Caenorhabditis elegans: one gene and its partner. The protein of the gene in region 2 purifies or fractionates together with the protein of the main gene of each other region. This does not show direct contact. Each region holds a gene or a part of one and is shown on either strand. Other genes may lie near its edges.

What was found.
Region 1: the proteins of R10H10.3 (region 2) and H06H21.11 fractionate together in Caenorhabditis elegans (co-fractionation; one large-scale study listed by BioGRID). This does not show direct contact.

Annotation. Positions count from the first base shown.
Region 1 is NC_003282.8:4,801,646-4,811,991, forward strand, and holds H06H21.11 (uncharacterized protein), read right to left. Parts: upstream 5,675-10,346; 5' UTR 5,648-5,674; coding exon 5,565-5,647; intron 5,512-5,564; coding exon 5,163-5,511; 3' UTR 5,052-5,162; downstream 1-5,051. Other genes in the region: dpf-7 (Dipeptidyl Peptidase Four (IV) family), read right to left, coding at 88-903; dpf-5 (acylaminoacyl-peptidase), read right to left, coding at 1,186-1,291, 1,338-1,741, 2,207-2,351, 2,400-2,845, 3,171-3,680, 3,733-4,048, 4,637-4,923; ubxn-6 (UBX domain-containing protein 6), read right to left, coding at 5,945-6,208, 6,262-6,372, 6,422-6,823, 7,306-7,842; H06H21.37 (uncharacterized protein), read right to left, coding at 7,839-7,852, 7,903-8,050, 8,146-8,319; eif-1.A (Eukaryotic translation initiation factor 4C), read left to right, coding at 9,291-9,390, 9,438-9,722, 9,770-10,035.
Region 2 is NC_003282.8:10,384,296-10,398,631, forward strand, and holds R10H10.3 (CUB domain-containing protein), read left to right. Parts: upstream 1-4,209; 5' UTR 4,210-4,224; coding exon 4,225-4,302; intron 4,303-4,685; coding exon 4,686-4,939; intron 4,940-5,282; exon of another isoform or gene 5,283-5,327; coding exon of another isoform or gene 5,328-5,526; intron 5,527-5,586; coding exon of another isoform or gene 5,587-5,970; intron 5,971-6,264; coding exon of another isoform or gene 6,265-6,725; intron 6,726-6,772; coding exon of another isoform or gene 6,773-6,991; intron 6,992-7,113; coding exon of another isoform or gene 7,114-7,374; intron 7,375-7,426; coding exon of another isoform or gene 7,427-7,615; exon of another isoform or gene 7,616-7,632; intron 7,633-8,019; coding exon 8,020-8,153; intron 8,154-8,214; coding exon 8,215-8,375; intron 8,376-8,421; coding exon 8,422-8,654; intron 8,655-8,706; coding exon 8,707-8,941; 3' UTR 8,942-8,999; downstream 9,000-14,336. Other genes in the region: Ankyrin repeat and KH domain-containing protein mask-1, read left to right, coding at 1-434, 482-1,110, 1,162-1,680, 1,732-1,908, 1,977-2,305, 2,351-2,447; nfu-1 (NFU1 iron-sulfur cluster scaffold homolog, mitochondrial), read left to right, coding at 3,122-3,173, 3,217-3,279, 3,326-3,404, 3,469-3,958; Spermatocyte protein spe-26, read right to left, coding at 5,328-5,526, 5,587-5,970, 6,265-6,725, 6,773-6,991, 7,114-7,374, 7,427-7,615; R10H10.4 (DUF3149 domain-containing protein), read right to left, coding at 10,368-10,466, 10,516-10,659.

The DNA of each region.
Region 1 (10,346 bases), 5.6 Mb from region 2:
AGCTAAAATTCGATTATTTTCGATATATTTTTTGTTCATTTAGGCACATTTTGTGTCTAGTCTACTTTTGAATTTCCTATATCTAACCAAAATAATATCAGCATCATTGTGAATATTCGGTCGTAGAAATACAGCCATTCGACTTTCATCTGGCGAGAAAGTAATCCTCAACGGAGCCGATAGATTCGTTGATATTTCATTTATATATTTCTCTCCAAATCTGTGCCAGAGAAGGTCTTGTCCTCGATGAAATACGATTCCCCGACCATCAGGCGTCCATTCGACTGCTGTGATCGTCTGATTACAAATATTCTCATCAGTGATTACTGTAACTCCTTTCGCATCGAAATCGAAGATGCATATCACAAATTGGCGCTCACCACGTCCCTGCGTTTCCTTTTGTTCTTCATTTGGTAGTGCAAAGTAGAGCAATTTTTTATTATTTCGAGAAAGTTTGAAATGAGCATTTGGTCCTGTCACAATAATAGGTCCATGATATACGTATTTAACTAGAGCTACCGTGAATTTTGCCTTCTTATATTGAACATCTTCTACTTGAATAACATCCTTATCGTGACCCATTTCTATGGATTCTGCTACGAATACGCAGACTTTACAATCATCCGAAAATATATGGGTGAAGTATTTCCAATCTTTATCCGTTTCCGTTTCCATTAACATCCAAAGTTTATTCCTCGACACTAATCCACGTGATCTCATGTATTGCCGTTGATCTGGGCACTCTAATGTCTCGTAAATGACCCAAACTTCTTGTGGTTCGTAATCGGAAGGAGTTGTGATACGTGCAGTATTCACCCGGAACTGAAGCATTTGTTGTGAGATTGTGACAAAAGCTTCATGCATTTGACGAGTGGCCAACGGGACCTCCTCGTCTGTAGACATTATAGTTGTACACGTATATGATGAAGCTGCTAAATATTGACTGCCTGTAAGAAATGTAAGAAATCTCTAGGAATTTCAGATGTTCAATTTAGAAATTCCACTAGAAATAATTAAAAATGGGAAAACCAAAACCGTTGAAAAACTGAAATCCTCCAGAATATACAAACCGTTCATATATAAGAGATTTACAAGGCAATATCACGGGAAAATGAATGAAAAAATACCGGGGGCAGGAAAAGAAGCAGCCGATGAATAGATAAATACATATAGACATTAGTATATTTACTGAGACAGTGATTTCTCGAACCAGCGGACCATGTTGATTGCATAGTCGGCCTCAACGTTGACCTCATCAAGTGGATGGTTCGATGGTGGGTAGGTGAGAACCCTGAAAAAAAAAACAATTTCTCTTGCAAACAATTTTTCAAGAATACCTTGCCGGAACTCCACGAGCCTTGAGAGCACGAATAAATGCTCTGTAGTGAGGAACGACACGAAGATCCTTTTCACCAATGAGCAAGAGATACGGAGTAGTTGCGTTCTCCACATGAGCAATTGGCGAAGAGTTGAACATTTTCTCCCGTTGTTCGGTGGTCGTGATCTTTGTCCAGTCTGGATATTCTCCGGTTCCCTCGAAATAGCACCATTCAGGAATATCAGTGATATCATGCATTGTGGCAATGTTGACGACTGGATTCAAGGCAACACAACTTTTGTAGAATCCTGGATATTGTCCAATTAAATGAGACACCAGGAACCCTCCATGAGATCCTCCGAAGAGTACAACCTTGTCTCGAGAAATACGTGGATTCTTATCCAAGACGGTGAGAACTGCGTTCTGAATTAGTATTAATTACATTGATAATACATGCGGTGTAGTCGAATAAACGTTCTAAATTCTTTGACAAAACGATATGCAAAACAGCACAAGAATGTCTAAAACGGATGTTTAAAGGCTTCAAACTACCGAAAATCATTATCGTTGTTTAAATTTCGCGCGTAAATGTGTTTCATGGATTTTCAGCGGATAGATTTATTCATTTTTTGAATCTAAAAACGATTTTTCGTATTATTTTTGACTTTTGTTAAAAGTTTTGTCAGAAAACATTTAAATTTTCAATATAAAAACACGAAAAATCGACTAAATTCCAGAAAAATAAATTAATCGGTAAGTGGGTTAATTTTTGCGCGAAATTCAAGTTATTCGGGCGAAGAGGTTGATTTTCGGAACTTTGAAGCTTTATAACATCCGGTTGAGTCTTGCCATAACACAGAGAAAGTTTTAAAAAAATGTTCTCCTTACATGAACATCCTTAACATCCATATCTCCGCAGTTTCCAGGCAGAGCACGAATAAAATCGTCACCAAATCCGAGTGATCCACGGAAATTGACTTGAAGGACGGCATATCCAGAGTTGAGAAGAGTAGTAAGATCCCGACGTGGCCAGCTGAACTTTTAAATGAAAAACGTTTAAAAAAGGGAAAAAGTAACTCACCTTGCCATGGATGCACCATGAGGTCCACCATGGGGATTCACAACCATTGGAAGATTGTTTCCCTCATTTGGAACAATCAGAATTCCTTCGTAAGTCGCTCCGTCACGCTCAAGATTCACAAATTCCCAGGAGAACTCGAAGAGATGACGACGTTTATCAACAGCCTTCGCCTCGTCGATTCGCACCCAAACCATTTCCTCGGCTTTTCCTGTCCCTGGAAGTTGTCCCAGAAGAACGTTTGGTGGGCGATTCGGAGCAGAGACGACTGCGAGCACTTCGTTATCATAGACATCAAGAAGAGACCAAGTTCCAAGGCATATGGAGTGATTGGTTAATTTTTCAATGTTCCCAGTTGCGATGTTAACGGAAAGCAGTTCCAACTTGCTGCACCAGGAACTTGAAAGGATAAGACGCTTGGAATCAGTAGACCAAGAACGAGTTGCTGTCTGTAAATATTGATTTTTGAAAAATCGGTAATTATATTGCCTTATATTCTGTCCCTTCCTCATGTACATATCGAAATACAGGAAAAAACTTTAATTCCAAAAATCTTCGATGAAGCAGTTTTTTGCATTTTCAATATTTTGAGACAAAATCTCAATCTTCGGAGATGAGTTCACAGTCTTTTGAGACAAATTAGTAATCTTTTGAGACAAAATCGAAATCTATTCGAAATTTTTAGTAATCTTATATGGACGCACTATTTCTCGTATTTACTACAAAAATATTGCTATTTAATATTTTCATATTAGATTTGAGTTGCCTGAGTACCTGTGGGAATGTGAATCCCTGGAATTCGTCTGCAGATCTCTTCTCCTTCACAATCGGAACAATGATTCGCTTCTCAATGTTTTCAGCAGAATCTACTTTCAATGGCCACTCAACAGCTACCATTTCAAGAACTGCTTGATGTGGTCCATCTGCTGCTCTCTGGAACCACACCAAAGTATTTCCGTCGGGCGAAAATTGCAATTCTTCAGCCGAGATTTCACCCTCACTGATCTTCGTCAGCTTTGCGGTCGCAAGCTCATAGTAGTAAAGATTTCCACGGCGATTGTTGCAGTAGATTCTGCCAAGCCGTGGGGTGTCCTGCTCTTCGAGGCCAAAGAAAACAACGCCAGCATCTCCTGGAGCCCATTTCGTGTAGGATGGGGAAATATTCGCAGGAATTTGATCGAGAGCTGTCACATTTCCACTGGAGATGTCGACAATGCAAATCACCGGCTGCTTGACACCATCGTTCTGCTCTCCCCATGACTCGGTGAGCTCGAATTTCTTGCCCTGCAAATAATTCTCTAGAAATCGAAACTTATATTTTTTATTTAATCTATACCACTTTGCTTTCGAAAACCTTCGTCTCGTTATCCCACTCTATATCAGCATCAAAGTATTGCGAAGTTTTCGAATTTCTCTCAGCCACGTACAAAACATGCCCCTCCCCGTACGAAAAGTGAAGGCATCCGAACGGCATACAACCACCACCGTGAATTGTTCCGTGCTTTTTCTGAGTGGAAAGATCAGCGCAAAGCTCTTCCACATGTTCCTCAAGATTGTAGATCTTCAAATATTGTTTCTTATCGTCTCCAGTTCCGATGGTCAGAAGTTGAGCAACACGGGAGTTTGATGCGGAATACACACTTCTTTGGTTTCTGAAATTAGAATTTATTCCATATTCATAAAGATAGAGTAGCGTCTGCCGGGGGTATTTTCTCATACCAAGAGAAAAAATATCAACGAACCGAATAAAACCGCTAAAATAATCATGGAATCTTTTCAATTTGGCTGAAATTGAATTATATTAGAGCACCCGCGCATTGTCTACACTCACGCAAAAAAGGCGTCACAGAAAACGCTCCCAAATTCAATTTTTATTAAAAGAAGGAAAATTTTAACTAGTTTTACAATTTCAACTACATATTTGTGATAAATAATCGAAAAAAGCATGAAATACCTGAAAGAATGAAGAAAATGGAATATTCAAAAAAAAAAGTGAATTCAGGAGCGTTTTCTCCGACGCACTATGTGCGTAAGTGTATGCATCACGCGGACACTCAAATATTATGCAGTTTTCTAAAGAAAGTATTGGGTTTTCCGCGAAATGAAAAGAAAACATAAAAAATTTAGCGAAATTCTATAATTATTTCAGCAGTTCTATTCGTCATATTGTCACTGTTCTCTGTTATTTTTGGCAAAATTCCCACAGACTCCATTCAATCTCCGAATAATTGTTTACTAACTCATAATTACACATTGGCACCGAAACCGACGTCATCAGATACCGATCCGTAACTTCCGGTCCTTTTTTTCCAATCAAGCTGACACGTTGCTGACGAGTCAACTTATTCAGCTGCATGGCACGGTTATCCCAAGTCGTGGTGACTTTGATGAACTCATCTCCTGACTTCTTCTCGATTCGTCCTTGAGTTGGAATCGGAATTTGTGCCAGATCGCCATAAAGATCCTTGAGCTTTTCCAACGCTCTCACATCATACTCAGCTGCACTTGTCACCACAGCAGACGACATTTTACGAAGGAGAAGACGCTGCATTTCGGAAAAGTTTTCGGAGAATTTTAGAAAAGGCAGAGATAAATAAAAATGGGAAGGTAATTCAAAAATGGATAGAAACCAATGAGATAAATGAATAAAAATCTAAAATCGAAATTTTATTGATTCATTTCGCAATGTGAGAAAATGTTTCGAGGGGTAGGTCAAAAAGTAACAAATTCAACAAAAAATTCACAACAATAGAAAAAACATAAATTTCATAATTCTTCAATCAACGGTTTCTTTGTAATTTCCGGTTTCGAATCCTCTCCTTTTGACTGAAATGCTTCTGGAAGAGCTTCGACATTCTGAATTCCGACATCTCTGTCATCAACTGCGCTGTTCATCTCCTTGAACACGTCTAAATCAATTTCAATCCTCTGTGTACTACTCGCTGTGCTCTTTTCGTCAGTTGTGACAGGTACCTCTTCCGAAATCGATTCTGAATTCGAATCGCTGTCGTCCGAGCTGTCATCCTCGACATTTTCAATATGAAAAGCGTCAGCTGACGCGTTTTCCGGCATATTTCGATTGGCTTCTTCCATTTGAGGCAGGAACGATTGTAATCTTAAATTTCGAATTAATTTTTCTTAAAAATTAAATAATTGCTTCAAAGTAACCTGGTTAATAAAGAAGATGGCCCGACAGGTGCGATGATGGGTTTTCCATTTAAAAAATTGGAGATCGTGGGATCCTGTGACATCTGAAAATGGTTTTTGGAGAAGCACAACTGAAAAAAGATGCAGTGGGCGGAATTTCGGCTTCTTCTTGATAGAGTGAATAATTTTCAAAATAAAAATCGATATACAACGAATAGAGAAACAGTTAAAGTGCGGTTCTGTACAAAATCTTTAATATGCTGCTCGAATCTTTTTGCATCTTATAAGTTAAATACAACGAAAGCGATTAGGCGAAATAAAACATCAGCAGTACCGGAAAAAAATAATGACAAACATATCACACTAATAGCCGGGAATTATATTTTTAAATTATACAAAAATTAGTCGGAAGCTTCAAGCTCCTGGATAATTTCGATATGCTCATCGGCAACGATTTGTCCATAATCAGACAGGTTTTCAGCGAAGACGACATGAAGAAGAGCAGCTGGAGCAAGACTGAGTTGAGCCAACGATGCAGATTCATCCTCCACGAGTTGACTGGCAGCGTCACGAAGAGTGAATTCGGATGTCGAAAGAGCATCGGAAAGAGTTGAAGCAACGAAGACACGGACTGCGGAAAATGGTTCATGGCAACCAAATACTCCCTGGAAAAATAAAATAAAATAATTAATCACTTGAATTTCTGGAATATACATACCTGCATCAACAAATTTCCAGGCAATCTGACACGAATCAACGTATATTTGTAGCGATAATTGGTCATTTGTTCGTCTTTTTGTCTCATTTCCTTCGTACGCAATGTCAGCATCTAAAAATTCAATTTATTGTGTGATTTTTCAATTTAAAGCTCCACTCACTCTCTCCACCTGCATCTCCTTATTTCTCTGTTCGGCTTTGAGTTCAGCAGTCGACAAATTGTAAAAATCATCTGCCAACTTTGGTGCTTTCGGTTTTTGCCCCTCTTTTAGCTTGAAGATCTCTAGATTTCTAGCAACCTTTATAGGCACAGCCTGCCCATCCTTCAAAGCTTCCAGAGCCTCCACCAAATGAACATCTGATGGTTTTGTGAACACAAGGAACTTGTCTTCTCCTTCAGATTTCTCAGTAAATCCAACAGCTTCAAGGAATGCACGTCCTCCAACTACTGATGCAACTCGTTCTTGGAATGCCTTATTTCCCAAACGAATTGATTTGTATTTATCCTCTCCTGGGTGTTCCAAAATGTTTTGACAATACTTGCAGATTGTTTCGATGGCAGTCTGAAATTTAGAAGATTGTTTGTTTTTCTACCAAAACAACGAATTTCGTACAGTTTAGGTGAAACGACCGATTCGCAGATTTACAAAAATCCGTGTTGATTTTTTCTTTCTGTGCGACGCTGATTTTTGCGAAATTTGCGGATAGATAGTTTAATTTCAACGGTAATGTGACAAAAATGTCACAAAAACTATGATGGCGGTTCAAAATTTTGAGAAAAAAAAAACGGGCAAATTTTAGCGAAACTCTTCAATTTGCCGAAATATTCCGTTAACAAAGTAACTTTTTTAGCCTATTGTTAGCTAAAAATGATCAAATTGGCTAAATAACGAAATAACGTTATTATAACATGTGAGAAACTATTACAATAGATTAAAAAACATTTTCCGACCGCTGCAACACACAAAAGTTGACAAAATTGGAGATTTTAGCCAGAATGAGTTCATTTTTTTTCGATATTTTGAAATTCTGAGCATACACAAACCTCCTTGGGATGTTTCTTATTAAGTGAATAGAGCATCAAAACTGCGGCAATCACTTTATCGTTTTCATCATCCGCCTCGCTGATCTGATCAGAAAGGAAATTTTTGATATCTTCAAGAAGATCTGCTTTCGAGCGAATATGATGCTCACCGAGCAACTCGGAAGTGTAGAGAACACGTGATATTGCGGATGAATGCTCGAGGTGTTGCTCACGGTCGGGTTGCTGCAGTGATGAAGTCCCAGAAATGTTGAGATCTTCAACCTGACGTCTCTCTTCTTCCAGCTCTCGTTTTGCAATCATTTGAATTCTTCGTTTTCCAGCATTTTGTTGAGGTTCATTCTTCTGCATCCGTTTGAAAGCAGCCTGAGCAGCAATATCAGCGGCCGCGACACGATCAATTTGGCCTCCCTGGGCGGCTCCAGCGTGGGCAGAAGGCTGCGAAGATGACTCGCCGGATGACAAACGAACACCTTCACCGCTCTTTTTGAAGTGATTCTGGACTCGCTTTTTGTTGAGGAATTTCTTGAAACTATTCATTCTTCTTTCTCTGAAATAAATTGGAATGGTTATCAGTGCAGAACTTGTTAAATATCTTACTATTTTTTTCGTTGCTCTTATTTCTCGCTTTCTCAATGTTCTCTCTTATGATAAACTCCTGAATGATTGGTGAATATCGATTCCACGCAATGATAGTGCCAACAGAGAAGATGAAAAGTAGAATAGAAAGAAAGAGTCCGAGAGCTACCTGAAATTTTCAAATTTTGGCCATTTTAGACAGAAACAAGAACAATAATTCACGTTAAAATTTCGAAAATCTCAAAAACATGTTCTCTAACGCACTTGTTTTTTATCCAACGAATAATTATCACAGAAGATAATCAAAGCACGATAAACGTTTTCTACTCCGAATGCTTCTGAGGAATCTGGAAGCGCGTCGGAGCTCTGATAAGCAACTGAATTTGTGCTCAACGGAGTCTGCTCAGTTGTCGGCTCGGCGACCAGAGGCTCTCCCATGCAAGAATAGCTGGAATTGTAGTTCTTTTTCAGAGAGATTTGCGGAAATTAATGATTGCGAAATAGGACAGAAGGCGATGACGACATTTGTGATATTGCACGGTGATAAACATATATTTTGGGTTGTATACAAACTTCAAACTTCATTTCAGAAAATTTGAAAAAAAGCTCATCTCGAAAACGCTATAAAAAACTTGGAGTTTTTCTATTGGAGAAAACTAAACTGGGGAAAGCTTTCGGACAGAAAAATATTATCTGCTGTATTTTTCATGATGTCGTTAATTTTGTGACTTAATAAACTACAAAAAAATGTAGGTAAAACACTTTTGCGTGAAAAGTTTGTGATTGTTTTCCCAAAATACGTTTTTGCGGTTAAATGTTCGTTTTGAGATGTTTATCTTACAATTCTTTTATATTTTGGACAATAATTATATTCTATGAAGTAATCTTTGATTCTGAATAACTTTTTTCCGAAAACAATTCGTTAAAACAACAAAATTTTAGAGAGAAAAATAAAAAATAAGCAAAATAAAAAATAAAAATAGCGAGTGTCGTAAATTGTGTCGCCAAGTCCGCAGTTACGTAACCTCGCGCCGCGCTCTTGCGATAGCAAACCCCGCCCACTTTTCTGTGCACTCCACATTTTCGTCGATTTTTCATTGAAATTTTTCTTCTGTTATTTTGTTTATTTTTGTCGATTGACGACATAATTTTAATCTCAAGCGCTGATAAAATTATTATTTCCAATTTTTAGAAATCACTTTTCATCAAAATACTCACGAAATCCAAGCAAACTGTTTATTTTGGGATAGTATACTCATTCTTCTTAATTTTTTGTTAAATTCCATTGAAATCTGACATTACCTTATGCATATTTATGTTCTTGTTTTTTCTACAATTTTTGCAGTCCTCTTTGCTTCTGTATTTCTCGTAACTTCAACTTTCCAAATTATTTCGTAATATTTTCAGCAATGCCGAAGAATAAGGGAAAGGGAGGAAAGAATCGCAGAAGAGGAAAGAATGAGAACGACTTCATGAAGCGCGAGCTCGACCTCAAGGAGGAGGGACAAGGTAGATTTTATAACTTCTTTCCCGAAAAACAAAAGCATTAATTCCAGAATATGGACAAGTCTCAAAAATGCTTGGTAACGGTCGTGTTCAAGTGTTCTGTTTTGATGGAAAGCAGCGTGTCTGCCATATTCGTGGAAAGTTGAGGAAGAAGGTTTGGATCAACGTGGGAGATATCATTCTCGTCGGTCTCCGAGATTATCAAGACGACAAGGGAGATGTTATTCTGAAGTACACCCCAGATGAAGCTCGCCGTTTGAAGAACGAGGGACTTATCCCAGAAAACGCCAAGCTCAATGAGAACGATGAACAAGACGAGGGAGAGGTTGAGTTCTGTAAGTTTATTTTTGCTGAAAATTAATGAAGTTCAATTTTTTTTCAGTGGATCACGTCGGAGACGAGGGAGAGGCCGGAGAAGCAAAGTCTGACTCAGATTCATCAGACAGTGATTCGGAGAAGTCTGACGAAGAGGCAGGATCGGATAAGGAAGAAGAATCGGACGATGATTCTGAAGAGGAATCAGACGAAGATTCAGATGATTCGGACAATATTCGGGAAGAGGACTTGGCAGCTGGTCGTGGATTTAAAGAGGACACTCGTCGCGGCGGAAATCGTGGTGGCAAGAACAAGTACGGAAAGAGACGCTAAATTGATTAAATTATTGGTTTTTAATTGTTTCCCCCGGTTTCTGTTCTTTCTCCCCCTAAAAATCCATTGTTTCTCTTTCGATCCTTTTCAGACATTATCTTCCCATCTTCTCTGTCTCCCGAAATTCCGTTACTTGAATGCTACAAAGTGAAATAATTCGATTGTGGTGTCCGATGATCAACACAACCTCAAGGTTTCGGTCCATCGGACACCACTTGATGAAACAACTCATTTATTGCAAATTATCCCGTATTCCACTATTTTCCTTTCATTTATATTGTTTTCTGATAAACTTTTCTTGTTATGGGTTT
Region 2 (14,336 bases):
CGGCAATTTGTCAGTTGCTTCGTCATTTTCATCTGAAGGTACATCGAAGAGTGCAGTTGATTCGACTTATGCTCCATCATCCATTCCAAAATCTTTATCTTCAGCAAGCATTGCTCGTCAATCTGCCTCACCTATTCCACAACAATCGTCTCAGAGATCCGCTAAATCACACCATCATCAGAAGGACTCGGGTGGCGGTAATGTGTGGCATCAAAGAATGGCAGCACGAGAAGAGAAAGTTGAGCCCTTAATGGAAACGAAACGAATTTCACAGTCACCGAAGCAAGCTCCACAAATTCCATCTACGCAGCAGCAATCAAAGTTACAATCCCGGCAGGATCAAGCGTCTGAGACTCTTGTTCGAGTTGCTCCTGCAGAGAACTTTGTTGCTCCAGTGCCCGCTTCTTCAATTGCAGCTCCATCGAGACCCAATCGTACGTTTTCCTTCTCCTTGTCTCTGAATAACTTTGTTTATTTTCAGAAAATGTTCTTGATCGTGTTATTGCTCCATCACTCCGGAGAGAGCCAACCACAACTCCTCTGATTCAACCAGTTCATCCAGTTCAATCTGTTCAATCTGTTCAACATATGCAACAGCAACAGCTAGCGCGACCAGAACAAAAGCTTGCTCAGCCATGTCTTCCAGACCCAATTGGTCAGCGATACTCGCAACCAATTTCACGACCACAATCATCGGTTCAAGTTTCGCAGTCTTCTTTCTCCAAAGCACCCGGAACTCGCCCTTCAACTGATTTCTCTCGTGCTCCTGGTCCACCACAGCAACAACAGACTCAAAACAATATGACTACAGCTCGAAACGAATTGTTTGATGAACAACTTGCTTTTGGTCAATTCAAACCGACTGGAATGAATTCTGTTGCTACCGTAATCCCTGCCAAACCTTCAGTAAATAATCAAAACGACGACAAAAATGGAAACAGTGATGACTTCGATTTTTCCAAAATGAGAATGTTTGATGAAGGCAAAGTCGGGAACATATGGGGAAAATCAGATGAAGATTCAGCTTGGGGAGGATTGTTTTCTCAATTCCTTCCACAATTGGGTGCCAATTCGAGTTTGAACAATTCCAACTCAAAAAATGATTCATCGGTTAGTTTAACAGCATTGAAAACAAATTTCTAAATTTTTATCTTATTTCAGAATGAATGGGGACAAAACGAGTTCATATCGCAGCTTCTTATTAACTCATCACTTCCTAATGCTACTTCGAGTCCACAAGGTGCTTCAACCATATCATCAGCACCAGTGCAGCAGCCATCTACGTCTTCTGTTACTACTGGATTATCTTCTTTGGAACTGAAAGGTTGGATGCCAGCCTCATTTGCACCGTCTGCTCGTGATCCGAATAGATCTCAACCACCCCTGTTTGCAAGATCTCAATCGAATTCTGTTGCTAATAGCACTTCCACGAATATTCAACAGCAACAACAACAGCAAATTCAACACCTTCAACAGCAGCAAGCACTACAACAACAACAGCAAAGGATTCAGCAATTCCAGCAACAATACCAACAGCATCAGTCTCAAAGTTCTCAGCAACCAAGTGACTTGATGTCTTCAAAGTTTTCAATGCTACAATCACAACAACAGCAGCAGCAACTTTACAATCAGATGCAGTCGCTAGGTCAAGATGGACAGGGATCCAATCTGTATAACCATGTAGGGATCCGTGATTTATGTCTGAAAATACGTTATTTGATTTATTTGCAGCTTGCCGCCCAATTATTGACTCATCAAGAGAGTTCTACAGGAGCACCTGGTCCAACAAGTAGTCAACTTGCAAATAGCTACTATCCATCACCTTCGTATACGGATGCCAGTGTTTTAGGGCAAATTAGCATGCCGTCATTGTCACAGAGAGGAATAAAGCAATTTGATGGATTTAATGTAAGTTTAGGACAAATTTGATGTTAAGATAGCAGGATCAGTTTAAAAATTAATGAATGGAAATTTAGAATGACTCTGATGGCGTTATTGCTGCTATTCTCGAGCAACAACAACAACAGAAGAAACAAGGACTCGCACAACAATCGTTCATGCATAACTCTCAACAGCCACAGCCGTTCGGAGCTCCCAGCAACGCTTCTGCAAATCAATCGCGACTCGGAATGATCCAACCTCGGCCCCAACCGCCACCATTTGTTGCTCCACAAGCTCCACCTGGATTCTCTTCTCTTGGAAATGCATCTTCCACGACGAACCCATCTCGAACTTCTATGCAGCAAATGTATCAGCAATACGGACAGAGTTCACAGCAACAGCCTTACGGTCAGATGCCTCAAGCGTAAGTTCTACGATTTCTAATTAAATATTTGTTTATTTATTACAGAATGGATTGGAACCGACTTGGACAGCAACAGCAGTCTGCATCTGGCCAACAAAATCATCAGTCATCCTCGTCAAATAAATGGTCTTCCAACTGGTAGATATCGCTCACAAAATCGTCTTCTTGTCAATTAGTCCCCCCTCCCCTCATAATAATTCGGTGTTTACTTGTTTTTTATTCAACCGTGAAACAATATGTCTTCCCGGTTGAATTGCATCCATTTTTCTTTATTTCGTCTCCTCGTTCCGGGTTTTGTAACACTTTTTCTTCATTTTAAATCTAGCCTTTTTTGGTCCATTTTTTCTTTCAACTCTCAAATGTTCGATCTTTCCCATCCCTAGCAAGTGTTTTCTTGCGAGCTCAGCCTTGTGGAAATTGTACTCTTCTGTCCAAATTATTCCCGTTTACCCATTTTTTGTTCTTTTTATATCTCCCCCGACATACTACTTCTTTTTTTTCGGTTATTTTTCAAGTCTTCCAACACAACACATATGTATTTGAGACGGATGTCAAATGGTCCCAACTTTTTCTTCCCTTTATTGAAAAGTGTGTCTTATTTTTCACTTTTGATGTTTTACTCGTTGTTTCATATGAAACCTGGGCATTTATTTCATTGCTAATTAATTATGACTTTCTTCGCTTTATGTTGATCCATGAATCGTGATTCTTGAAAGTATACAGGTTAGGCTATTGAAATGTACAACTCGAGGTTTTGATTCCTATATCTTGAGAATTAAGTCGGTAGATGTTGAAAGAACAAAAATTTTCAGAAAAATGATTTCATCAAAAATGCTCACAAGACTGAACCGGAGCTTTGTACAAGCAGGTGATACTGGTTCCAGAAATTCTTTCATTTTTTAAAATTTCAGCTCGATCAATGTATATTCAAGTTCAGGAGACACCTAATCCACTTTCTTTAAAATTTTTACCTGGTTAGTGGAAACTTCACTGTTTAAAATCTGAAATGTAGTATTTCAGGTCAACAGCTTCTCCCAGACGCCTCGAAAACATACGATTTCAGCTCAGCGGCTACAGCAAAACAAAGTCCACTTGCTATGTAAGGAATATTCCAAATTTTAACTACCATTCAGATAAAATAGTATTTATTTGTAAATTTTCAGAAAACTTCTTCGAGTCGACGGAGTGAAGCGTGTGTTCTTCGGAGAAGATTTTGTAACTGTCACGAAATCAGATGAGACTGTTGACTGGGCTCTCCTCCGTCCGGAAATCTTCTCAACAATTGCTGATCACATTCAAACCGGAAAACCTGTCATAAATGAAGCTGCAACTGTTTCCGACCAAGTGGAAGAAGATGATGAAGTTGTAATGATGATCAAAGAAATTCTAGAGACACGTATCAGACCAATGGTACAAGAAGATGGTGGAGATATCACTTATGTTGGTTTTGACGATGGTGTTGTCAAATTGAAGATGCAAGGTTCATGCACAGGATGTCCAAGCTCTGGAGTCACTTTAAAAAATGGAATTGAGAATATGCTCACATTCTACGTGCCTGAAGTGAAGGAAGTTATCGAAGTTAAGGATGAATCCGATGATCTTGTGGAACAAGAGTTGAAGAAATTTGAGCAATCAAAAGGAATCAAAGACTAATTGATAATTGATTCGTGTATAACTAGATTTGTTTTTATTAGTGTTTGCTGCTAGAGATAAATGTTCAATGAATATTTATAAAAACTTTTTTATTACTTTGAAAGTCGTATTAGTAGAATTGGTTTATGACTCTGAAATCATCGAATCACGTCAAAGTTCAACGGCCCAGTCCAAATCAGTGATATCAGTTAAAAGACTTATCACCCGGAAAAGTGGAAAATTGTGCTTCGTAAATTGATAAGAAATCAGTCAGAGTGCTGCTCAAAATGTTGAAACAAATTCTTCTCGTCGCTATTATTTTAAATTTAGGAGTATCTGCGTATAAGAAGAAAAGCTTGATTCATGTTAGTTTTTTTTTCAAGTTTTTGAATTTTCAATGTTATCCAGACGCGGAATTTTGCTATTTTTGCGGCTGGTTCGGTTTCTGAACGACATCATTTTAATAAATGCGGAAGGTACGCGCCTTTAAAGTGAACTGTATATCCAAACTTTATTTGCTGCGGTCAATTCTTCATAGTTTTTCGAGAAAAATATGTTTTTTTATTTATTAAACAAACTACATTTTGAAATCAAAATACAAAAATCTTCAGAAAAACATGAGACAACAACTTTTGCATTTATCAAAATTTTATCGTGACGAGACCGGGTACTGTCGCTAAAGTTCGCGTCTGAGTAATTGTGTCTGTAAATTATAAATTTAGAATACTGTAGAATATAAATTTATCAGAATCATGACAAAGTGATCGTATCAAACGACGACTTTATTGGATGCCCAGTTAACAATGATTTCTATTACAATGGAACCATTAATTCACCATTGTATCCATACAATTATCCTCCAAATGACAAGTGTTACTATTACATTTCTGCTGAACCAGGAAAAGTTCTCAAGATTTCATTCTCTCATTTTGATTTGGAATCTTGCTGTGACTTCATCACAATTTATGATGGACCAACTGTAGTGTCGAAGAAACTTGTACAGTAAGTTTCTATTTTTTCACAATTTTAAATAATTCAAATGTAAATAAGATACGTACGACGTCGTACGTATATAAGAACATACGCACAAGCAAGGGCTGTCTTTTATAAAGGTGTTTTAGGTTTTTGGTTTTATGCCAAAAATTGTTTTCATAAACGATTTTGTATTTTTTCGTTCCAAAAAAGTTAAAAAAGGGTAAATTTTGGTACTGAGGTAAAGTTATTTCGCCTGATCACAGGCACAAAATGACAGGCAGGCACATAGGCAGGCAAGAAATGTGGGACAAACGCCTTAAGATGTGCATGCTCAAATAGATTATATCTTTGAACTTTTCATTGACTGGAAATTGAAACCTCATTTATCTACTTTCCGAGTAAAAATGTCAAAAGTTCAATTATTAATTGACATGTACGATGCACCAGCATCATCTTCATAATCATCATCCATTTCCATTGATTGTTCATTGATTGTTCCTCTACGTTCCAGAAAGTTTCTCCAATTTGGTGCCACCAAAACGTTCAATGCACTTTTGGCTCTAGGAACATCAGGAATAAAACTGAATCGAGATGCATTCGGTTCAGGGAGCAATCTTTAAAAAGTTATTGTTGAATTTCGAATCGAGCTAAAAATTCTTTAAAAATTAACATACATTTCACAAGTAGCTTCGACTTTCTCCGTATATCCAGCCACTGAGAATAACCATCCTTTGTAAGAACATGCTGCACTAGTTGATCTTCCATAGATCAACTTCTCCGGTCGTTGCTGCCATTCACCAGTTCTGTGCCACATCCAAATCTTGTTTTGTCGTTCGGCACCATCAAATCCTCCAACAATAAGCAATTGGTTACCGTGGTTGAGAAGACAATGACCAGTTATTGGATACGGTAGATCAACAGTTCGAGAGAAAACATTTCCAATTGGATTGTAGACTTCAACAGACGCAAGAATCATGTCACCATTGAAACCACCACTAACGTAGATTTGATTCTCAAATACTTCAGCAGCACAGTCGGAACGCATGTCTGATAGGCTTCTAAAAATATAAAGCAGATTAATCGGGATACAAGCAAAACATTATAAAGATGCAGAAAAACCACTTTTGAAATCGACATGCAAACATGCTCTACGGTCAATTGATAACGCTCCGCCCCCGAACCATGGGTCTCGTTAGGTATTTGGCGGCAAAACTATTCCGAAATCGATGTCATTTCCTTACAGTTTTTTTTTCCACCAAAGGGCTAACGAGGCCCATGATTCGGGAGCAAAGCGCTCTCAATTGGCAACGGAGAGCATTTCCAAGTCGATTTAAAAACGCCACAGGGCTTACGCAGTTTCAGTCCATTTATTGGTCTTTGGATCGAAAACCTCTCCTGTACGACTTCTCACTGCAGTTCGAGTGATCTCTCTGAAATTCTGTCCTCCAAACACATAAATCCTCCCGTCATACACCACAGAACTGTTTGAAATGTAGTTTCGTGGTTCCATCATATTATTGCATCGATCCCATTGCCACGTTTCCGTTGACAATTTCCATGTTTCGCAACGAGTGCGCTGACCAGTCGAACCACCGAACAAGTAGAGAATTCCATCAACAATTGCTGATCCATGATATGCAAGTGTTGTTGGTAGCTTCTGCTGGGACACTTTCCAGCAGTTATTCTCCGGATCAAACCATTCAATTCTATCACATGCTTGTCGATGAAGCCATCCACCGATGATGATGAGAACATCTCGAGTTCGGCGTGCTGGTTTAAGTGACGGATGGAATTGGGACAATGATTTGGCAATCTGTACAAGTTAATGAGTTTAGTTTAGAAACTGAACTTTAAAAAAACCTGTTGGTCCAGAGCCAAAAATCGAACAGTTGACATGAGCATCGGACGGAATTTATCACGATTTTCAAAATCAGCTGCAATCCATTGATTGATAACTTCAATAATTTGAGTCTCCTGCTCAACATTTACTTCTTCACTGCTCAAAAGATGCTTGACCTCTTCCACTGGTAAACGATAAAATTCAACATCAACCCGTTTGTCGACAACTACCATTCTCGCCTTAATTAGTTATTTTCAAATTTGATTTCTATTTAAAGATGGGGGAATATCGTGAGAACTTTTGAATACTCGAAATAATTCAAAAATATCACTTTTAAATAACTTCTAAATTTTGAACGTACCAGATTGTAAAGAATATATTCAAGTGTTTTGTGTGCATGGTTCTGGCAATCGAATTCGCGAAATTTCTTGTGAAGAAGAAAACAGTTCACATCTGACAACGTTGACAGAATATGATCACAAATCGTATTTTTCATTTCTAAAATTTTTGGAAAACAATGTTGACCAAATCCTGCAATTTCTTCCAGTGATTTTTCAATTCCAAACCATCCCATTTCATCGGTACTGTCTGAGACTTTTTCCAAGCCGAGCAAATACTTGACCTAGAAGTTAACAACTACATTTTCTGAAGTTTGGTAACAATAAACAACTTACTGTTTGAGTAGTGAATGGTACCAAAATGTTCTTTTGCATTGATCGAGGACTCAATGCTCCAAGACGATTTAGTTCTCGAGCAATCTCTGATTCCACAAGTTTTACTTCAAAACGTTCTTCATCTTTGGAGATTATTGCCACATCACAACGATTATCGATTGATGTTAATTTTGAATTGCAAAATCGCATTTCGAGAGAATTGCTAAGATTGAGAAATGGCAAATCGTTGAGGAGAAAATGAGAAATGGAACAACCACGCGGGCTTGTATTTATTGGAATAGTTATTTAATTTAATTTATTAAAAATAGTTTATTCAATCGAAATTTAAAAAAATGTGTTTAAAAAAGTAATTTTATGAAGCGCCAGATTGTGTTCTTCTCTTCAAACGTTAGAAGTCTAATGAGAAAAATTTCTAAAAATAAAGTAATCAAATTTCATGAAAAGTTAATAATCCGGACAAGTTTTACTCATTTATCGTAACATCCTTCAATAAAACATTAAAAAATATAGATTTTCGATGAAATTTTTCGAAAACCTTAAGGGGTCCTACATCGCGCGTACTGTAGTAATCAAAAATATGTGTTTTTTCTTAGAATCGGTGGACCTGGATCTAATGTAACCAGTGCTGGAACTTACTACACAACGACAAGAAACGCCGTAGTAACTTTTGAATCAAACCCAACTATTCAGAAATCTGGATTTTCGATGCAATATCAGTCGGTGAATAGTGAGTTTTCTAAAATTTCAAAAATCTTGAAGCAAAATTTTGTATTCAAAAATATTTTCAGCCGTGGCACCATGTAACCGTGACATATTCCTGATTGTAAATGGGTTAGCCAACGTTGGATCCCAGGCAAATTACCAAAAAGAAATCAATTTTATCGCCAATCAATTGACACCAACTTGGAATGTCGGACTTGATAAAGTTAGAGTTATGCTCAACCTTCAGGTGATAATTTGATGAGTGACAAGACAAAAAACATATCAAATTTCAGACAGACATTGATTATGCAATTGTTTGGTCAGCTGATGATGTTCCATCAAATGCCAATGTTACACAAGAAGTTCTAAATATGTTGGAATATGTTCCAGATGTTACAACAGACAATAACATGGATCTTGAATGTCTTTTCCGTTATGCTTTTGACGGTCTTGATGATAGTAAAGAATTCGATGAAAGATATGGAATCGAAAAGGTTGTCATCATTTTTGTGGCTGCCAATGCAAAGTTTGTTTATTTTTCAAAAAATCTTTTGTTGAAACTGTAAACAATTTTGCAGTAACGATCAAGATTACAATGAATCATTCGAGTTTGCTCATAAAATTCGAACAGAACAAGATGCTAAGGTGATCGTTGTTGGTATGGGATCAGGACTTGATCAAACTCGCTTGTCTAAACTCGCATATGCCTCTGGATATGCTTTCTTTTCGACCAGCTATGATAATTTATCATCATTGATTCCAAAAATCAATAATGCTATTTGTTCGGGACTTAGTTCTCAATGTGGACCATAGATTTGCAACTTTAAAATAGATCTATTGTCGTTGGAATGTGAATAAAGTTGTGATACGCAAATGGCAACTTTCCTCTATACAATTTTTAATCTCTTTGGAATTGCAAGGTATCTACAGCCAATGTTCTATTGGTGGTTCTATTGGTTTTGCAGTTACTTGTTTGAGTTTTTCAAACACGTGTAATATAACTCAAATATTATAACAGTTATTGTCTGAAATTTAATTTGAAACAGAGGCGTTTAAACCAATTTTGAAAAAGTTTACGAACTTGTGAACAGTTTGAAAATTGTTCATCTGAATGTTCTGTCAAGGTTATTAGATTTTCAAGCTAGTGTAAGCTGCAATCTGATTGTGAAAAAACTATTCATGGTTTCCAAAATAAAAACTAATTCCAAAAAAAAAGAAGAAAATCACGGGGTCAAAAAAAACTTTTAATTTAAAATAAATACTAGATACAGTTTTGATTAAAACCTCTGATCGAAAAACATTCAATATGAACGTGACTTGCCCATAGCCTCGTTTTCTCCTCCAGTAATGGGCCAAAAGAATGGGCCAGAAAGAAAGGGCCAAAAGGCTGTATTAAAAGCAGTTTGCAGTTTTGGAAACTTCAAATATCCGGCAGTTTTGGTCAATGGCACTGGTACATCAGCTTTGGCTCAGCATCGCAATGGCCTAATGGCTCAGAGGAGGTGGCTGTGTGGCCATCACTCAGTAGCTCAGTAGCTCAGTGGCTCAGAGGTGGTGGCTGTTTGGTCATCTACATTGTGGCGGAGTATGGGATTCGTTTGTCAGCTTTGGCTCAATGGCTTGTTGGCAATTGCTAAGTGGCTTAGGGAAGGAGGGTGTATAGTCATCGCTCAGTAGCTCGGAAGTTCAGTGGCTCAGAGGTGGTGGCTTTATAGTCATCGCTCAGTAGCTCAGTATCTCAGTGGCTCAGAGGTGGTGGCTGTATGGCCATCTGCATTGTGGTGGATGTATGGGATTGGTTTGGCAGCTTTGCCTCAATGGCTCGTTGGCAATTGCTCAGTGGCTTAGAGAATGTGGCTGTATAGTCATCGCTCAGTAGCTCAGTGGCTCAGAGGTGGTGGCTTTATAGTCATCGCTCAGTGTGTGTGGCCATCCCGTGACTGTATGGTGGCTATATGAGCTTTTCTACTAATGATATGTGACAGTATTTTAACAAACGTAAAAGAAACATGATCATTAGTTATTGGACAAGACTTTTCTACGTAAACCAGTTAAAACGAAATACGTGTTTAAAGTAATATGCTAAGAGATTGGTTTTGTCAAGTTCCGAGAAAATTTGATTTTCATCTCGATGTAATATACTTTGTTCCGCTGTTCAGATTTTGTTGCACCGAAAAATATTCATTTTGAAATAGAATTATTGCAAAAATAAATCTAATTAAATTCTACAGTCAACTAATTAATATTCATGTCCATCCTCATCGACGTGTTTCTCCATTTTCTCCTTGACCAGAGAGACACGGTGTGGTCCAACTCGCAAATTGTACTTTGCTCCTAGCTGGAAAATGTTCTGATTAAACTTTTGATCTCTTTCAATCACTCTTCACCTTTTCAAAAGCAGTGACTTCATCGGTTCTTCTGATGAAGGCAAAGTTGATAACGAATGTTAGCATGAATACAATCACTGCAAAAGCTGCTCCAACGAAGAGTGGTGCTGCGTAGTCAAGTACTTCGAACTGTTGTTTTGGCATTTGTCTGACAATTTAAGAAATTCAACAGTTTAGGAAATTGTCTCATAATTTTCAGTGTTAAGATAAAATATAGCTTCTTTAAAAAATTCCTAAAATCATCTCTAATCAATCTAACTGATAGTATTCTCAAAAGTATTCAGGTTTGAGTCTGTACTTAAACTAATGCTCAGAAAAGCTTTTGTGAATGCAATATATAAGACTTCTCAAAACTAGATAAATATCTACAAGAGAAGTACCCGCTAGAGCGCAAAACCTATAAAGGAATGTGAAGATATTCTTTGAAAATCAATGCGTTTGATGTGCCAGAAATAAAATGTAACCATAGAGACACAGAAAGTAGAGACGCAGAATCAGCCGGATATCCGACTAGAAAAAAAAAATGAAAACGAGTTTTATAGAAGAAATGAAGCAGTTGAATATTATGGGGAACTTGTTGATGAAGGATTAAGATGATGGGAGGATATGGGGGTGGATGACTGGAATATTGGAACAGATAAAGAGAAAAAAAACAGACATTTATGGTCATATAATTTCAGTATTTAGGAGAAGATCAAATGGCCGAGATTCCAGAGTTTTGAAATGGTTTATCAAGTGATAATCCACTAACACAGTTGACTCGTTATTTGCGCGTAATGCTTCAGAAAGCACAATATATTTTATTGGCGATGTGTGCATCATGCCTTCAAATGCCGATGATGTGAAATTTCTGAGGAGACACATCGCAAGTTAACAATACGAATGAGAAGAATTCCTTTTGAATACAGCTACAGAGGGAGGGTAGATATCTAGAAATGCATCTTCTCTTTCACAAGACACTGAAACCTTTTCTTGGTAGTAATTTGACAGGCAAAAATGAATTCGAGAAAAAGAAGGTTGCATGCGTTATTCAGAAAAAAAAAAGAAACTTTCATAAACTGGGAAGAGGTTCGACAAAGCACGCAACAGCATTTCCTGAAAAGATTAGTACAAGTGGTTCACAGAATACAAGAGCTTTTTCTAATCTTCTCTTTTGGTATTTGCCTGGAGTTTGAGACACCATTCAAGCACTGAAACTTGAAAAAAACGGGACTGAAAACCAATTTCTGCAAGAGAAAAGTTGGAGCAGTAGTCGAAAGTTGACGAGGAAAAGGTAACGCATTCTTTGTTTAAAACCAACTTTTTGGTTCCATGTTTAGCTGCCAAATTGTGCCGGTCGAGTAAACTCACGATTTGTGAGCTTTTCCCAGTTTCCATAAAGGTCTCAGCTTTCACAGCTTACAAATACATAGATGAAGTTCCTTTTGATGCCAGACATTTGATATTTTCACTTTGTTTGATGACTATTGTTATTATGTATATTATGGTAAAAAACGTTATGGTATCAAAATGTTCATTCCATTATCTTTTCTTCGTCCATTACCTTATTCATTTACTTTCTGTATTAAAATTTTCCGACAGAACAATTCCCTCAATTTGAATGTGGATGTATTCTAACTGTCTGACCACATCAGTGTCAAAGTGCTCGTTTCAGTTATTTGACATGAAATGGACCTTTGTTTGGTTCCGAGTTTATTCAAATCTCTTTTTCTTGTCTAGACATATAATACGACAATTAGGAAGTTGATTGTTTATGAAATGTTATGAATTTATCTATTAAAGAAAGTTAATTTGAATTTTCGAATAATTTTATTGATTTTGCGAGAAAACTAAATCCGTCTTGTTCTTGTGCTTCAGATAAATTGCCAAAAATGAAGTCGATGTTTACAAAACGTTTAGTTTTCGGAGTATTCTTATTTGAAATTTTTGAAAAATCATCAAAAAACCAGAAGCGCATATACTTTTGGCCGACTGTGTAAATCAAATCAATATTAGTTTTCATTTCAATTTTTTCAAATCTTTCAATCATTTTTGTTTTGAAAATTGATTATTTCGAATACTTCACATTTCATATTATCGAATCGAACATATTTTGATATTCTAGTAACCCAAAAACATCATCCCTTCCATTTCCCAAAAAAGAGATTCTTTTGATCAAAAAAAAGAAGAAGAAAGCATGTGCGCACAAATTGGAAGGGATGAGAGAAAATGCCAATTACCCGGAAATTCCTCTCTATTTCTCTTTTCTTTGCTACCTTTTTGATCCGCTAGATATCTGCTCATTCGATTTGCTCGGAGACAAGTATTACTGGGGAGGTTTCATTCAAGCTTTCCACGCTTATTGATCACTAACTTTTAAGCGGTCTTTAGTTAAGGCAGATCAGATGTAGATGATTTTGAATAATATATTTTTTTAATTTGGAAATTAAAACTTTGCACATTCTCACTACACATTAGCAAAAAATGATTCTTTCAAATGTGGCGTAAATATCTTATTTTGAAATATGTATATAGTTTAGAACTAACTTTGAGTGATGGTAGTTTTAAATTTAAATTCAGTCGCAGCATGAGCTGATCTTGTTTGCAAAACTGTAGTAAAAATACACTTTTTCTCAAAACATGCAGCTATTTTTTTAAATCGAAAAAATAATAATGTAAAATAGTTAACAGTGTCATAATCCACGACTATTTCCGCGAAAATTTTGTTAGCGATGTTCGGGAAATCATCTATTCAGACTTTCAAGTGTACTTCTCTTGAAAAAAAGAAAATAGAAATAGAAAAACATTCTAGACAAGTGGACCTTATAGAAAAGATCATGTAGTCTACATTTGTTTTCTAAACTTTTTTGAAAGTTGTTCTTCATTGAACATATAATATTTTCAGCGTAAGCTGTGTTCTAGCTACTGATTCTTGAATTTTTATTTTATTCGAGAGGTATGAATCATTCGCGTGGGTTGTTAAAAAATAATTGACCCGATTAAAATAAATATATCTAGTTTAAAAACGTATTATTTCTCGAACTAACATGACGTCGACACATTAAAAATTCAAAGTCTGAAGCAAATAATTTCTCAACGATTTTCGAGCATCATATTTCGAGTAAACTCCAAAATTTAATTTCAAAGAAAAATTAGATTAAAGGCTTATGCCTACCTGGTTAACCCCACGCTTTCACAAACCAATTAGTTATTTTATTTATGGAAAAATCCTTACAATTAGGAAAAAAAAAACTTATACATAGTGTGAACATATTGAACAACTATTATGAACAACAATAACATGTGCCATTTTTTTGCAAAAAAATATATAATTAAAAAAATTACGAGTTTTTCAGTTAGTGAAAGGCCAACCAAATTTTATTGATAGTGTTTCCTAAAACCCAATTAATGTCTTAAAAGTCTGGGAAAAAATGTAATTAAACATTTATTGGTAAGGTCACTTTCCAGATCATTTCCAAATGACTTGAATTTAATCCTTTGCAATTGAATCAAAAACGTTGTATGTAAAACATCAAGTACCCGGTGCCAAGCTCCACCACTCGGTAGGCTCTTCCAACTGAAAGCCAATTAGTTGTGGTACACAGAAGAGAGCACACACGCACTCACTTGCTCCTCCTCTCTTCAAATTGAGCCAATTTAGAAAGAGAGAAGGAGCCGTCGTCAGTCACAACATTTCATTCTCGCACTTTCTTTTTTCCCCTATTCCTTTTTCCGTTTTTCTCATCTTAATAACCAATTAAGTTGATGAATGAGTCCATTTATAATTTTCTGACATAGTTTATTTTCGATTGGTTTTGAAAATTTGCTAAGTAGTAATTTTT